Linked DNA regions of Arabidopsis thaliana. Each later gene encodes a partner of the first gene's protein in a complex. Each region holds a gene or a part of one and is shown in the gene's direction. Other genes may lie near its edges.

Region 1 (4,741 bases):
TTTGAGCTTGACTCATTGATGTGTTTGTGTATGTGTTGATGCATTGTGGTTATGTAGGAAGGAAGGTTGGATGAGAATGGACACTTGCAATGTTCGTATCATGGATGGTCATTTGGTGGGTGTGGATCTTGCACTAGGATTCCTCAGGCTGCTACTTCAGGTCCTGAAGCTCGTGCTGTTAAATCCCCGAGAGCTTGTGCTATTAAGTTCCCGACAATGGTGTCTCAAGGTCTTCTCTTTGTGTGGCCTGATGAAAATGGTTGGGATAGAGCCAATTCAATTGAACCCCCTAGGTAACGAAAATGATTATCTTCTCAGGCTTCCATGAACATAGCATACTCGTTTTATTACTCGTTTTATTAAATGCGTTGATCTTTAACATAAAAGGTTGCCGGATGATTTCGATAAACCGGAATTTTCGACGGTGACAATTCAAAGGGATCTTTTCTATGGATATGATACTCTCATGGAAAATGTATCTGATCCTTCCCATATAGATTTTGCTCATCACAAGGTGTTGTTTTCTTTCTCAAAGCTCCCAATGTGTTTGCATTTCCACTAAGGGATATTATCCTCAGGCGATGATTACGTGTTGTAAACAGGTTACAGGAAGAAGAGACAGAGCCAAACCATTGCCGTTCAAGGTGGAGTCAAGTGGGCCTTGGGGTTTCCAAGGTGCGAATGATGACAGTCCAAGGATAACCGCAAAATTTGTTGCTCCGTGCTATTCTATGAACAAGTGAGTGTTGAGTTTGCTCACTATACATAATAAATGGTTAGCATACAGTTGCATAGAATGAAATTGTGTATCCTTGTCTACAGAATTGAGTTAGATGCGAAACTACCAATCGTCGGTAATCAAAAATGGGTCATTTGGATTTGCTCATTCAATATACCAATGGCTCCAGGAAAGACCCGTTCCATCGTTTGCAGCGCCCGTAACTTCTTTCAGTTCTCTGTACCAGGACCAGCTTGGTGGCAGGTAAAACAAACTTTGATTCCATCTCTAATCCGATTTTACTACGTAAATTCTTCTGAAGCTGTTCCTTGTTAGGTTGTACCAAGATGGTATGAACACTGGACTTCGAACTTAGTCTATGACGGAGACATGATCGTACTTCAAGGACAAGAGAAAGTATTCCTCGCTAAATCAATGGAGTCACCAGACTACGACGTGAACAAACAGTACACAAAGCTCACATTCACTCCAACCCAGGCAGACCGTTTTGTTCTAGCATTCAGAAACTGGCTCAGACGGCATGGTAAGAGTCAGCCTGAATGGTTCGGCTCCACCCCGTCTAACCAACCTCTCCCTTCCACTGTCTTAACCAAGCGTCAGGTGAGCCATCAATCATGCATCCTAACATCATTTGATTGATCTCTATATATATACAAACACATGTCTGAAAACGTGACAAATTTGAACAAACAGATGCTAGATAGATTTGATCAGCATACACAAGTATGCTCTTCCTGCAAAGGAGCTTACAACAGTTTCCAAATCCTCAAGAAGTTTCTCGTTGGCGCGACGGTTTTCTGGGCCGCCACGGCTGGTGTTCCTTCTGATGTTCAGATTCGACTGGTTCTTGCTGGTTTATCACTGATATCAGCTGCTTCTGCATATGCTTTACATGAACAAGAGAAGAACTTTGTGTTTAGAGATTATGTACATTCTGAAATCGAGTAGATTTGTTGTGTATATGTATAATCATCATACAAAGTACAAACATTGTAAATCAAAATCCAGAGGAACTTTTAGCACTATAAAACCGATTTAACCGTTAAATTTTGGGTACTCAATTGAACTTTATAAAACTTTTAAGTAAGAAAACAGAAAAGTAGAATAATTACGGGGTCAAATTCGAAACATAAGAAAAACATTCGTCACTTCACTTGAGCAAGCACACGAAAAGCCGATAAGAAGATAACAATTACTACAACTGTGCGCTCTTGTTATCTCTGCTTTGAAGTGAAATCAGCTTTGGCTATGGCTTCTTCGACAGCTTTGTCTCTCTCATGGAGCTCCTCTCCTTGTTGGTCACACAGCTTCAATGGCGGTGCAAATGAAACCCTAAAAGTATCTGAGCGAAGGTTCAATTTTGAAGTTGTTTCCCAGAAGAAAGCTAAGAAACTTCGCAAGGTAAAAGTCATTACCTTTCATGGGTTTCCTTCAAAAATTTGATTTGGCTTTTAGTTAGTTTTTGATTTGAGCTTGTGTTTCTGAAGAATTTTGGTGGAGATGAAAGTAAAAGACTTGAAGATGCTTAATTTATGGGTTTAGTGTAAAAACATCGTCTTTGTTCTTGTATCAGCGTAGTTAGGAAGAAAGATGAATCAACATTAGAAAAGTAGACGCCTTTATATTACCAGTTTAGTTTCAAGTAGTGAAGATAAATTGGTTTGAAGCTTTGTTTCTGTGTAGAGAAATGGAGTAAGTGAAACACTAATGGTAAATCTTGTTTTGTGTCTTTAAGGTAATTTTGAAAGAGGATGTGACGGATTTGGGTAAGCAAGGGCAATTACTTGATGTGAAAGCTGGATTTTTCAGAAACTTCCTCTTGCCTACTGGAAAGGCTCAGCTTATGACTCCACTTCTGCTCAAGTAATTCACCTCAACTTCGAAATTTCCGTTCGCTTTTGTATGCTCTTACTATTCGGTTCTAAGGCCTTTGTATTTCGAGGGACTTTGCTACAATGTTGTAAGATCAACAAGAAAAACATCATTTTCTTTCTTTTTGTGTGTGTGTTTTTCCCCCAGGGAATTGAAGATGGAAGACGAACGGATTGAGGCAGAGAAGCAAAGGGTAATCTGATATGAATACATTGATTGTTTTTATTTGATCATCATGTAAAGTTTTGGTGTTTGAGTGATCACCAAAAAACTCTTTGGTTATTGATTTTCATCTGTTTGTTGGTTTTTTCTTTGCGTGGAACCTTTTTTGCAGGTGAAAGAAGAGGCACAACAACTGGCGATGGTATTCCAAACCGTTGGTGCTTTCAAGGTTAAACGCAAAGGCGGTAAAGGCAAACTGATATTTGGATCGTAAGTCCTACTTAAGCAAATCTAGATTTTAACAGTCTTGAGAATAGTGTTTAGCCTGTACTTAACTTTATATTTTCCTGCAGTGTCACAGCTCAAGACCTCGTCGACATCATCAAATCACAGCTCCAAAAGTAACAACATAGAAAATTTTACATTTCCACATAAAAAGCTACAAGCTTTCTCATGTGGGCGGTTTAGTTGGATCAGTCTACATTTGGTTTTTAGTGTTGTTCGAAGAACCTAATATGGTTTTATCTGCTTCTCTGTGGCTGTGTTTTGCAGGGACATCGACAAACGCCTTGTCTCTCTCCCAGAAATCCGTGAAACCGGAGAATACATAGCCGAACTCAAGCTTCACCCCGATGTCACTGCTCGAGTTAAGATCAATGTTTTCGCTAACTAAACCTTCAACGATTCAAGACTCCTACTGCATCCCAAGGTATTTCTTGATTTTCCATGATCATGTGGCTTTTAACCATAAATGAAACTAAGTATTAGTTTTGTCTTAGTTCGTGTCTTAATTGGCATGAAATAAGTAGTTAAACCGATGTTCTGAACTCTGAACATCGGCATATAAACATTGGTCGGGAATATTGGCTGTTGAACGGAGTTTTGCGTTTTAAGGTCTAGCCGCAAACGCAGATGCTAATTGTCCATCGCACTGTGTTTGGTGTTTTGAACTTGCAGGAACGTATAGAGAGGGAAAAGAGAGTAGCCTCTTGTGGTGAGGATTGAAGGTTGTGAAGTTTTTCCTTTAGATTGTTTGATGCATTTGTATTTTTGCTATTTTTGGAATCTGGAAACGCTAAAAGTATAATATTCTCTTGCAAGTTATGATATTTACTTGAAGTTATATTGTATTCATTTGTCTGTTGAAGTGATGAGAATGCTTAAATTAACACTAACAAGCTGTTTAAAAAACTAACAAATAACCAGAAATCTGAAAAACTATGTCGCCGTCTCTTGTTCCCACAAGATTGACTATTTTTAGAGAGTTGTTGTTTAATGACAAAACCCAGATGTTTTTTTGTTTCACTGCTTCTCTTCAATTCTGTTACCAAAACCTTTTTTGTTTAAGACAGTTATAGCTCTTGATTCGGTTTTTATAATCATATGATTCTCTTGTTTCTATCATCTTTGTTCTTGTTAACAAGTTTTGTCCAATGGAGTTTAATGGTGATAGGATCCCTTACCTGAGAGATACATGGAGAGATGCAAACATGATCTGCGGTATCTTGCCTATTAACCCGAGCTCGAGCGGGCTATGGCCCTCCCCGAAGCTCCCAGATCCTCAAGCAAACATTGAGTTCTGGAATTACATGTTTCCACATGTTCAGATCATTTTCCTTATCGTCACTATTCTCTGGCAATTCTTCCATTTCTTCCTCAGACGTCTCGGCATGATTCGTTTCACCTCCCATATGCTTGTAAGAACTTTACTCAATTCTTGAATCTTCAAATCTCTCTTCCTCTTTGTTTGCATTGCTTATGTTTGATATTCTGTGTGGTTTTGCCAGACTGGGATTCTCTTGAGCAAGTCGTTTCTTAAGGAGAATACACCGGCTAGGAAATTCCTCTCGACGGAAGACTATAAAGAGACTCTGTTTGGTTTAGTGGGTGCATGTTCCTACATGATGTTTTGGTTCTTGATGGGAGTTAAAATGGACTTGAGTTTGATCCGCAGCACCGGGAGAAAAG
Region 2 (2,907 bases), on another chromosome or scaffold:
ACTTGAAAAGATTGCTCCTACATGGATGAATGTCTCGCTGACAATGAAAAACGATCCAGAAACTGATAAGGCATTTGGATGGGTGCTGGAAATGTTAGCACAAGAAACAAGAATCTTAAATCATGAATTGGCTCTCCACCTTTTGAATCCCATCATTGTTAACTGACTACTTTATTCTTCTCTTTTCTGTTTGATAAGGTACGGTTACGCAATTGCATCTGCTATACATGGGGTGCGTCACATACTTCGGAAGGATTTCATGCTTCAGGTAAGAATCGACCTTGTGCTGATACCTTAGTGATAACATATTCTATGTCGAAGATACTTTTGTTTTGTCAAAGTTACAAAAGTTGTTTCTCTGCTCCATATTCCTAAGTTCTCTCACAATATCTTTCAGCCTCCGTGGGATTTGTCTACCAAGGGGAAGTTTATCATTCATTACACTTATGGATGCGACTACAACATGAAGGTGATTTTCTGTTTGACACGATTGTTTAATTTTAATTTTTGGCTGATAAATTAGGAACAGATTTCACATCTTGTGGTCATTTGTTTTTACTTAAGGTCATTAGGTTCTCTTTTTAGTCACTACTAAGTTTTGCTGACTGTTAAATACAGGGGGAGCTGACATATGGCAAAATAGGAGAGTGGCGATTCGATAAGAGATCACATTTGCGGGGTCCTCCTCCAAGGAACATGTCCTTGCCGCCTCCCGGTGTTCCCGAAAGTGTGGTATGTTATATATAAACCTCTATAATCTGATCGTGCTTAAAACAAGATACTGCAGTAAGGTCCATTCATAGCTCAAAGGGGAACTTATTTGTATCATGTCCATTGGTTTAGTGGATTCCGGAGACTAAATAGCAACGTCATACACAAATGGTCGTCCATAGTTTGATGTAGTTTGTGAATTTGCAATGGTTTTACTTTCCGGGGAGATGATATGCATAAGTCTGTTAGAAGTAGTTGTAATATCTTCAGGAGTTACGGTTTTGCTTGTGGTCAATCAAGTGTGAGAGTGAGAACCGTAATATTGAATGACTGTCCTTAATAACATATTGTGTGATGGTGCAGGTGACACTTGTGAAGATGGTGAATGAAGCTACTGCGACTATCCCTAATTGGGACACTCTCTAACTCACATCCACACACAAAACACAAACCATAGGGACAAATCCATACAGCAACAATATTTTGCCTAATTTTTTTTTCCTTCTCCCTTTACTTCCCTTCTTGTCTGTTTTTTCTTGTAATGGTTAAATTATGAACTTGAGTAGTAAATTACAAAATTATTTGTTTGACACGAGACGAGACATCTTCCATAATTCCGAGAAAGAAAATAGAATTATTTTGGGTCTAGTTATTTGATTAGTTTACCAATGGATTGCGTTCAGAATTCAGAAGCAGAGACTAAAAGACACAATGCGTTAAATTAGACGGAGTTACTAATTCCGTCTATTAACCCTTTTTTTATCCATAAATTTTATTTTCCATTTAAGAAAAATAAAAAAATAAAATTGCTTAGTGGAGGATTGTGTTGTTGTTCATCTATCTTCTTCCTCCACACAGCTAGAAACAGTCTCCTCATCTTCTGAGCAAAAAAATGGAAGTGGCTCTTCTCTCCTTCTCTTCTTCCTTGTCTCCTCTCTGTCACCAGCGAATCTCAACTCTCACACCCAAAACCTCGAATTCCCCAAATTACCCTCGCCTCCCGGTCATCAGATCCGCGGTGTCTCGTAACAAGAAGGAAGAGACTGTCGAAGCCGTCAAGTCTCACTTGGAGAACTGCCATCTCCTCGCCGCCATCAACTACAAAGGCCTCACCGTCAAGCAGTTTCAAGACCTCCGGAGAACTCTCCCCGACACTACAAAGCTCATCGTCGCCAAGAACACTTTGGTCTTCAAAGCCATTGAAGGCACCAAATGGGAAGCTCTCAAGCCTTGTATGAAAGGCATGAACGCTTGGCTTTTCGTCCAGACCGATGAAATCCCTTCTGCTATCAAACCCTACCGGAGCTTCCAGAAGGAACGCAAGCTTGAAAACAATGACTTTGCCGGCGCTGTCTTCGAAGGTAAGTTCTACGCTCCTGACAATTTCAAAGTCCTCGAGACCATGCCCACTCGTGCTGAGGTCTACGCTAAGATGCTCGGTGCTCTGCAATCTCCGGCTATTAATCTCGTCACTACTTTACAAGCACCAGCAAGAGAGGTTATAATGGTGCTTATGGCTTACATTAAGAAGTTGGAAGATGAGAGTAATGCATAGTTAAGCTTGTACTAATCTTTTGGAGAATGTAATGTACGCAACAAAAGGCAATTCAATTTTTTGTTTATGACTCTCTCAAGCACCAATTGTTATTACAGTGACTGAGTTTTATTGAAATGTTGTTTTTCGGAGTGCTCTCAAGCTATCATAACGGTCTTGTTTAGATGTACTTAGAGAGGATAGATTCAACAACTCCCTGAGCTATGGGGTGATAAGTTTCTCGAGCTTCTGCAAACACCTGTTTTGCCAGCTGCTTCTCTTCTGTTCCACCAGATTGTGCAAGAGCAGTGAAGAGTGGACGCAGGTACTTCATCCTTCCTACCTCTTTTAGTGTTTTCTTCACTTCCCCATGGTACTCTCTGCACTTGGATGTGACTGCAAGTTGCAGAAACGAGACCTTCACTTCATAGTCTTTCGATTCTGCCAGTCTGTACCGCTTGTCCAAGGCCATGACCTGATTCATCAATGAGCAAAGTGGGTGTTAGCCATAGGTTTGAACCTGATCACCAATCCTTCCTTTGTTGACTAGCATTGTCATTAACAAACAAGATAAGATCCTAACTCTTGCAAAGCCAATACACTTTCCACAATCATGAACTCTCCCAAAGCCAAGAGGGTTTTTCCACAATCATTATTCACTA
Region 3 (4,488 bases), on another chromosome or scaffold:
AGCTACACATAGCAAAATAGTGACTAACATGAGACAGAATACAGTCGAGATCATTGCATTCTTGTTTAGTTGGTAACTAATTGCAAGGAATGGATTCATAAGACGAAAACTTCAAAATTCTGTATTGAATGGAAATCGTTTTCCACTCAAGCCAGTTATCTATCAGTCTTTCTGCAAGAAGTGACGGTATATTCATTTGATTATCATCTTCTTGCATTGACAACAAGTAGACAGAGTGAGATCAATAAAACAAAAAGAAGAGAGTTCATTGAAGTGAGCATACCCATTTGAATCCTTCTTTGTCTTGAAAAGAAGCACCTATTATGCTCTCTCCAAGATTGGCAATCTGGGAAGCTAGTACACATACAGCTGCTTCTGGAGGAGTTATCTGTGTTCAAGATATCAAAAGGAAAAGAAGTTTAAAAATCGTGTAATGATAACAGTCTTTAGTAGCATAAAGAAGCTGTGAAGGGAAATTTTGGTAGCAAATAACACTATTACCTGACCCAGGAAGCAGCCAACAGATGCAAGAAAAAATGATGCTAAAAGTCCAGCCAATGTTCCTTCAAGACTCATAGCTCCCTCTGTTCCTCTTGGTACAATCTTAAATGTCGTAGCTAAATACCTGCGAATTGGCAATGGTTAGTAAGATCATTTCAGTTGTCGATTGGATTCATGTCATGACACCACAAGTCCATGCCATACATCAGACAGAAAACAGACACAGACCATAACAGAAGAGGCTATAGCTGGATAACAGTAGCATACTCACGTTGTTTTTCCATAAGCTTTGCCTATCTCGCTCGAGACAGTGTCAGATACTTTAGTGCAGAAACTGGAAACAAAACCAAGCCGGAAAAGCTGGGAAAAAGCTGCTCCTCCCACTTGATATATTGAAAGAAAAGCACAGACACAACCAGCAGCACTTGAACCAATCACACTGCGTGGTCCTCTTCTACCCTTTCTCTTTTCGGCCACACCTTGTGCTTCCTTTTGCGTCATTTTAACCTTCGTTGCCGCTGTTCCCTGTGATATTGTAAATCATCTAAACCAACTTCAGCGCCAGAATCAATTGCAAATTTACTGTTACTATTTCCAGCTCTGGGGTGAAACACGATATTGAAATCTAAAACTTAAAGCATTGCAGAGAAAAGACTAAGTATCTCAATGTTGAGCATGATCAGAAAAAGTAGCTCCTTAATCTGTAAACGTGATTTAGGATCTCTAACACGTCCACAATTCCTAAATTAAACAATAACACATCTAAAATCTAAGGACATTCTTCATTCATCAGCTCGAAATCAAAATCAAAGCAGCGAATTTCTACGTTCTAAGAGTCAGTTACCGAATTACATTCAGGTTGATCACAAATGCACTTACTATGACGAAGTAAGCAGCGACTAAGAGGAAACCAGCAGAGCCATAAGCTCTCCAAGTTAAAGTACCAAGCAAAAACGCGGCGGCGATCCCAGAAGCGGACAATCCGGTAACAAGAAGCGGTGAACCGAGAACAAAAATCAATAAATTGTTAGCCACAGCTGATTTCCAAGTTGGTGACGCCGATTGAATCAGTTTCATCGCCTCCGTCATCACTCCTTCCATCGATGCAGCCGCCGCCGTAGCACCGTCGGCTCTACTTCCCGACGAAAGCATTCCGTTGGAAAGTGGTTCCAGATTACGTCGTCCAAATCTGTAAGATCTAGCGAATGGAGAGGAAGAAGAAAATCCCGAGAATTTTGGGAATCTTAGTGGTAAAGCTGATCTAGAAGAATTTAAGAGTAGAGTTGACGAAATCGTTGCCATGACTTAGCTTGCTTCCGAAGAAGACCTTTCTCTCCTATTGAGAAAAAAAAAACAGTATTTCGGGTTGAATCCGGAGCTCCGAAAAAAACCCGGATCCTTAACCCGTGTTGTGTTTATTTTTCGGTCGTATTCATCAGATTATTTACGGTGTTGCCACTACTACTATTTACTGAGAACCCAATCTTATCCGAGAAATCGGAAAGAGCAGAAGAAATTTGCAGAAGAGAGAAAAACAAAAATGGCGGTTCTTTGCTCGTCTTCGACGGTGATACTCTCTTCTTCTTCCGTGAAATCCTCCGGAAGTGAGAGAAAGTCTCCGTTTTTAGGGTTCTCTTTAACGGCTATCTCGAAGCCGTCGGTACGAGTCGGCATTTATGCGAATTCGAAAAGAGGATTGCAAGTGAAGTGTGAAGCTGAGCCGACGACGACGACTTCTCTTGTTCCGGCGAATCAACGATGGATGTTCGACGAAGAAGAAGCTAATGGCCCTGTAACGATAATTTTTCTATCTCCCTCTGTGTTTAGCATCTACGCATTTATAAAGTGTCGCACTTTAGCTCTTGCTTTGAATTTGAAGTATGGCTTGTTTTTTTCTTCTCCCAATTGCGATTTATTAAGTAGTGGATTTTGCCTTTGACTCATTAGCTGTGTTGTCTGCATCAATTGGCTTCGAAAATTGATGTTTATTCTTCTGAATTTGTTAACTTGGACGTTTTATGAAATTATTAATGTTTGGTTGGAGAGAAGTTAAAAGTCTTTGGCTTGAAACCTTTATTGAGTGTATTCTATGGTTTACAGGACATCTGGAACACGACATGGTATCCAAAAGCTTCAGACCATGTGAACACGGACAAGCCCTGGTTTGTGGTTGATGCAACTGACAAAATTCTTGGTAGATTGGCATCGACAATTGCTAATCACATCCGTGGGAAGAATCTTGCCTCTTACACTCCTAGTGTCGACATGGGAGCTTTTGTGATTGTGGTATGAGTTTCTTTGAGCTATCTGTAGAGAATAAGAAATTTGATGTGCTGCTTTAGTTAATTTCTTCCTGAAGGAGGAGCCTTGGGATTTGGTTTTAGTAAGATTCACATTAGCAGCAAGATGTAGAGCCTCTATGTAGATGTTTGGGCAATGCTTGTAACTTGGTACCTCTAATACTGTTTTCAATTGTTTGGTTAAAGGTGAATGCTGAGAAAGTTGCTGTATCTGGAAAGAAGCGTAACCAAAAGCTGTACAGGAGGCATTCAGGACGACCTGGTGGTATGACAGTAGAGACATTTGATCAATTGCAGCAGAGAATTCCTGAAAGAATCGTTGAGCATGCTGTTCGTGGAATGCTTCCAAAGGGACGGGTTAGATACATAATCCACAGCTCTTTATTAGTCTCCTTTAAGTCTTAACACTTAGCAAATCCGTGTTTCTTCAAACTTATGGATTGAACTTGGAAACTACTTGTTGCGATATTGGTATTGATTGATTACTAGTTTTCCAACTCCCTCTTAACTTTGGTCTGACCATTTTGTGGCAGCTTGGGAGAGCTCTGTTCAATCACCTGAAGGTGTACAAAGGCCCTGACCATCCTCACGAGGCCCAGAAACCGCTTGATCTGCCTATCAGGGACAAGAGAATACAGCTGCAAAAATAGAAGCTCCACCACTGTTCCATTATCGCCAAGCGCAGAGAGTTTTTTCTTCTCAGGTTTCTGTAGTTTCTTCATCCCAAAACCAGAGGAGGCTTTACAGATTCTTGTTTTCGCTTCTATCAACTCTGTTATGCTACAAAACTTTCTAATTTGAAATATTTCTCGTTATTTTTTTTTGCTACTGAATATCTTCTTCAACATGAAAAAGATGACATGTAATGAATACAAATGCCATAAGCAACAGTAGTCACCATTAACAAAAACTTCCTCTTCAATTGGTAACAAACCTTCCCAATGAGATCACAGATGCAAGGAAAATCTAATATTCATGCCTTAATCGAGTCATTACTTAAAACTGAAATTTTTAATGCTGGATCCAAAATTTGAATGTTAAATATACATAATAATAGGAAATACAATTTGAATGTTTGGAATCGCTAACGACTAATGCTAGATCCAAAATCCGGTTAGTATTCATATCATTATGTAAATTTTGCATCCAAATAAATTTAAAAACAAACAAACAAACACAAAAGATTTTTAAAATCCGACAATAAACAAAATCAAAATTTTAAAAACTATTTTTAAAAATCCAAATAAAAATCTTGAATGTTAAATCTACATAATAATATGAAAACAAGTTGAATGTTTGGAATCGCTAACGACTAATGTTGGATCCAAAATCCGGTTAGTATTCATATCATTATGTAAATTTAGCATCCAAAAAAATAATATTAAAACTATTTTAAAAAATGCGAAGTAAAACCTTGAATGTTTAATCTACATAATAATAGGAAAAACAAGTTGAATGTTTGGAATCGCTAACGACTATTGCTGGATCCAAAATCCGGTTAGATTTCATATCATTATATAAATTTAGTATCCATTAAATAATATAATTTTAAAAAATAAACACATGAAAAAAGATTTTTAAAATCCGAATAAACAAAATCTAAATTTTAAAAAGTACTTTAAAAATCCGAATGAAAAACTTGAATGCTAAATCTACATAATAATATGAAAACAAGTTGAATATTTGG
Region 4 (3,514 bases), on another chromosome or scaffold:
TGTTCATGGAAACGCTGCGTTTAATGATGATCATGTCTTCAAGCTTGACGAGGATTTTTAGATTTTGCTTACTTGCTTTATTTTTAGTTTTGTAATTTTCAGTATAATGAAAAACAGATGAAGTTTAATTTGATAATGGACATTTAATTTCTTAATTATTTAACATAGTTTTTACATGGTTAACATATAACTAATCCGGATCCTAGTAATTACATGGGTCTACCCAAATCCAAAAAGGATTGGAGCCAATGACTTTGCTATATATTTCGTTCTTAAGAACATTGCTAGGTTTCTAGCTATATTGGTTTTGCCTCTTTATTGGCAGAGGGAGCACAAAGAGAATCCTCCCCTTTCGACATAAAAATGTTATTTTCTCATGGTCTTTTGGATGATTAGCAAGACTTACTCTTAAGTTTTTGCATAAGTATCTTACATCACTTTCTAACTCAACCTTCGAAATATGCATTTGTTTCAAACAATCCAGTGTTCATTTCCAAGTAGGTGTAGTGACTTATGATAAGAAAGCATGTCGATTATGGTAAAAATATTTTAGTGGCTGTTCACAATAATTCTATGAGAGAGAATCATTAGTAGGCAAATTGAATAGGAAACAGACATGATATCAAATTCTTTTGAAGGCAGAAAGAAATGAAAATATAGAAAACATAACTAAAAGAGAATAAACAACCAATTACCATTTACCGTTCCAAAGACCTTCATCGTCGAATTTCAAGAACAATGAAGGTCTTTGAAAGATACTTTTGTCAATAAATATGAAAACCATAAACAATTAGTAGAGATGAGAGATCACTATAACTCTCCTATGACTTTCCATCCAATCAAAAAGAAAAGTTTGTGTCCATGTCTCTATAACTCTATCCAACTTCTTTAAGATAAGATCATTTTCTCGCTTATTACACCAAGTATACAGCGGACCATGGGATGATAGGTCTCAAACAAAGCAATAGTTTACCACTGATTGAAAGTCTCTCATTCCATTGGTATAATAGGGTTGTCTTCAGCTCTAGAATGCTCCACAAGTTCTAAAATCTCATTAAAATCTCCAAACATTATTTAAGGCTTGCTACTAATGACAGGAGAGTCATAGTGATCTCTCATCTTGTTCATAATACTTTTTTCTCCTCTAACCAACTAGACAGTCTATGAAACTCAAATAATATAATTTTTAATTTTCGGTCAAAACTGTAAAAACATGTCAAAATCAAATAATATTTTTTTTTTGCCAAATCAGAAAATTACATTTTTCCGCCAATGTAAAAATAATTTTTAGAGTGACATTGTCAGTATAAATCCTAATTTATGTTTTAATATTATAGCTAAAGTCTATAATTATTTTTGGCTGCTTCTTGCATATTATTATTCTAAGTTTGGTTTTTGTTTTTATCTGAGAAATTTCTACTATATAATGAATATTTGAAACTGTAGTCTATATATTTAGATTTAATATTTTATACAACAAGTTGATATGGCCGAGTTGGTCTAAGGCGCCAGATTAAGGTTCTGGTCCGAAAGGGCGTGGGTTCAAATCCCACTGTCAACATTCACTTTTTTCTCTTTTTCCATTATTTACTTGCTGACGTGTACTCACCTTATCTTACATTATTTGATGACGTGTAATTTTAGTGGTCACTAATCGAGAGAGTGAGACGAAACGATAAGGAGAAGAACTTCTTCTTCAACCTCAGAAAACCCTAATTTCTCCATTTCGAAACTCCAACGAATTCTCTGGTGATTTTACCAATGGCGATGGCAACATCGATGAGTTTGAATCTAATTGGGGCATTCAAAGGCTTGTCTCTTTCTTCGACTTCGTCTTTTCTTAGAGGCGATTTGAGTTTTTCCCCCAAAACCTCTTTCACGGTGACTCTTCCTCTGGAAAATCTTCAAGCTCCGATTCCGTTGACAATTGAATCGGCCCATAAGAAAGGAGCTGGTAGCACCAAGAACGGTCGTGATTCTCCTGGGCAACGACTCGGCGTCAAGATCTACGGTGACCAAGTTGCTAAACCTGGTGCTATCATTGTTCGTCAACGTGGCACTAAGGTAACACTTAAGAACACAGAATTGTTGAAATTGAGAACCTCTTAAGCTCCTCTTTCAATTCTCTTCTAATTTCACCGCAACTCTGTCAATTTGGTCAGTTTCTTATGGGTTTAGCTCTCAAGCTCTGTTTTCAGATTCCATTCTCGAACACATCTGGGTTTAGGATGAATTTTCGTATTTAGTAGCTCTTGTTTCTGATGCCATTGCCATTTCTCTGGAAGTTCTACGTTATGTTTGTGTTTAGGATGGAACTATATTGTTTGAGAAGATTGATTCATGAATGGTGATGTTTGGTGCAGTTCCATGCTGGGAAAAATGTTGGGATTGGTAAAGATCATACCATCTTCTCTTTAATCGATGGATTAGTCAAGTTCGAGAAGTTTGGTCCTGACAGGAAGAAGGTATACCTGTAGTTATACTGAGTAAGGTTTATAAGCTTTCTTAATCTTCTAGGATGTTAAAGGAAATGAGACTTGTTTTTGCAGATAAGTGTGTATCCAAGAGAAATTGTACCAGAGAATCCCAATAGCTACAGAGCAAGAAAGAGAGAAAACTTCAGATTGCAAAGGGAGAAGAAGAAGGCGAGACGCGAGAATTACTCGTACACACTTCCTACACCAGAACTTGTTCTTGCATCTGCCTCAGTCGATGATGCTGAAGCCAATCCGGAGTGCTAGAAGATTGAATGTGGAGTTTCCTTGTCTCTTTTTGTTTAGTCTTGTTTATGAAAAATGATCCTTTCAGAGTATTAAGAGTTGGTTGTATTGTCGAATCCAAGCCTCTCTTTTGTCAAATTGAGTCCCAAGCAGGCGGATTTTTACCCAACTTGAGTTATTAGTGTAATCAAATGGTTATTGTTAATTAGTCAAAGCCTCAAAGGTTTTAATTTAGTGAATTTCTCTTCCAACTTAGTAATTCTGAATCATTGATAAGAGAGACCACCAAACCTTTGAATGCCCCAATTAGATTTAGTCAAGTATAAATCTAGTTCAAGTGTCTATTTGAGGTTTTTTTATTATAAAAATTATAAAACTTATTTGGATCCCAAAAATGGATCCATTGTTAGTCTAAGAAGCCGAAGACTTTATGGGCCTTCTAGCGAAATAATGGGTTTTAGCCCAATTACTTAGCATTTCGGAATATGTAGATAGTGGTACAAAAAAGAAATTGAATAATATTCATTTTCGTCTATCATTGCATAATTAGTGGAATGAAATTATTATTCTATGTTTTTTTTTTTTCATTTATCTATATCTTGCTCATCTTGAATCCATCAATTTCGCTAACGTTTTACCTGTACCATATTAGATCCTTTGTGTTATCTTTAGGCCATATTTCACCAGCTTGAGGTCAAATACTTATACACATGTATGTAACGATATATATATGTAAGATGACGATATATTATTGAATAACACTAAAGGCCTAGAGCAAAAATAGTAATTGATGA

Evidence for each region.
Region 2: RPL9 (region 1) and EMB3136 share a complex: the UniProt entries of both Arabidopsis thaliana proteins name them as parts of the 50S ribosomal subunit.
Region 3: RPL9 (region 1) and emb1473 share a complex: the UniProt entries of both Arabidopsis thaliana proteins name them as parts of the 50S ribosomal subunit.
Region 4: RPL9 (region 1) and RPL27 share a complex: the UniProt entries of both Arabidopsis thaliana proteins name them as parts of the 50S ribosomal subunit.

What each region holds. Positions count from the first base shown.
Region 1 is NC_003074.8:16,384,518-16,389,258, forward strand, and holds RPL9 (ribosomal protein L9), read left to right. Parts: upstream 1-1,877; 5' UTR 1,878-1,987; coding exon 1,988-2,140; intron 2,141-2,474; coding exon 2,475-2,602; intron 2,603-2,758; coding exon 2,759-2,804; intron 2,805-2,945; coding exon 2,946-3,043; intron 3,044-3,126; coding exon 3,127-3,174; intron 3,175-3,325; coding exon 3,326-3,446; 3' UTR 3,447-3,482; intron 3,483-3,730; 3' UTR 3,731-4,206; downstream 4,207-4,741. Other genes in the region: ACD1 (Pheophorbide a oxygenase family protein with Rieske 2Fe-2S domain-containing protein), read left to right, coding at 58-293, 388-514, 603-739, 823-982, 1,055-1,339, 1,433-1,687; CHX4 (cation/H+ exchanger 4), read left to right, coding at 4,207-4,470, 4,561-4,741. UniProt on the Arabidopsis thaliana protein: Binds to the 23S rRNA.
Region 2 is NC_003076.8:4,339,691-4,342,597, forward strand, and holds EMB3136 (Ribosomal protein L10 family protein), read left to right. Parts: upstream 1-1,571; 5' UTR 1,572-1,603; coding exon 1,604-2,266; 3' UTR 2,267-2,405; downstream 2,406-2,907. Other genes in the region: AT5G13500 (Hyp O-arabinosyltransferase-like protein), read left to right, coding at 1-93, 199-268, 398-469, 619-732, 1,075-1,137; AT5G13520 (peptidase M1 family protein), read right to left, coding at 2,427-2,720. UniProt on the Arabidopsis thaliana protein: This protein binds directly to 23S ribosomal RNA.
Region 3 is NC_003070.9:29,573,956-29,578,443, forward strand, and holds emb1473 (Ribosomal protein L13 family protein), read left to right. Parts: upstream 1-1,850; 5' UTR 1,851-2,041; coding exon 2,042-2,293; intron 2,294-2,601; coding exon 2,602-2,787; intron 2,788-2,987; coding exon 2,988-3,158; intron 3,159-3,334; coding exon 3,335-3,451; 3' UTR 3,452-3,925; downstream 3,926-4,488. Other genes in the region: AT1G78620 (integral membrane protein (Protein of unknown function DUF92, transmembrane)), read right to left, coding at 1-2, 284-388, 502-625, 773-1,026, 1,354-1,803.
Region 4 is NC_003076.8:16,409,105-16,412,618, forward strand, and holds RPL27 (ribosomal protein large subunit 27), read left to right. Parts: upstream 1-1,677; 5' UTR 1,678-1,761; coding exon 1,762-2,064; intron 2,065-2,363; coding exon 2,364-2,465; intron 2,466-2,549; coding exon 2,550-2,741; 3' UTR 2,742-3,010; downstream 3,011-3,514.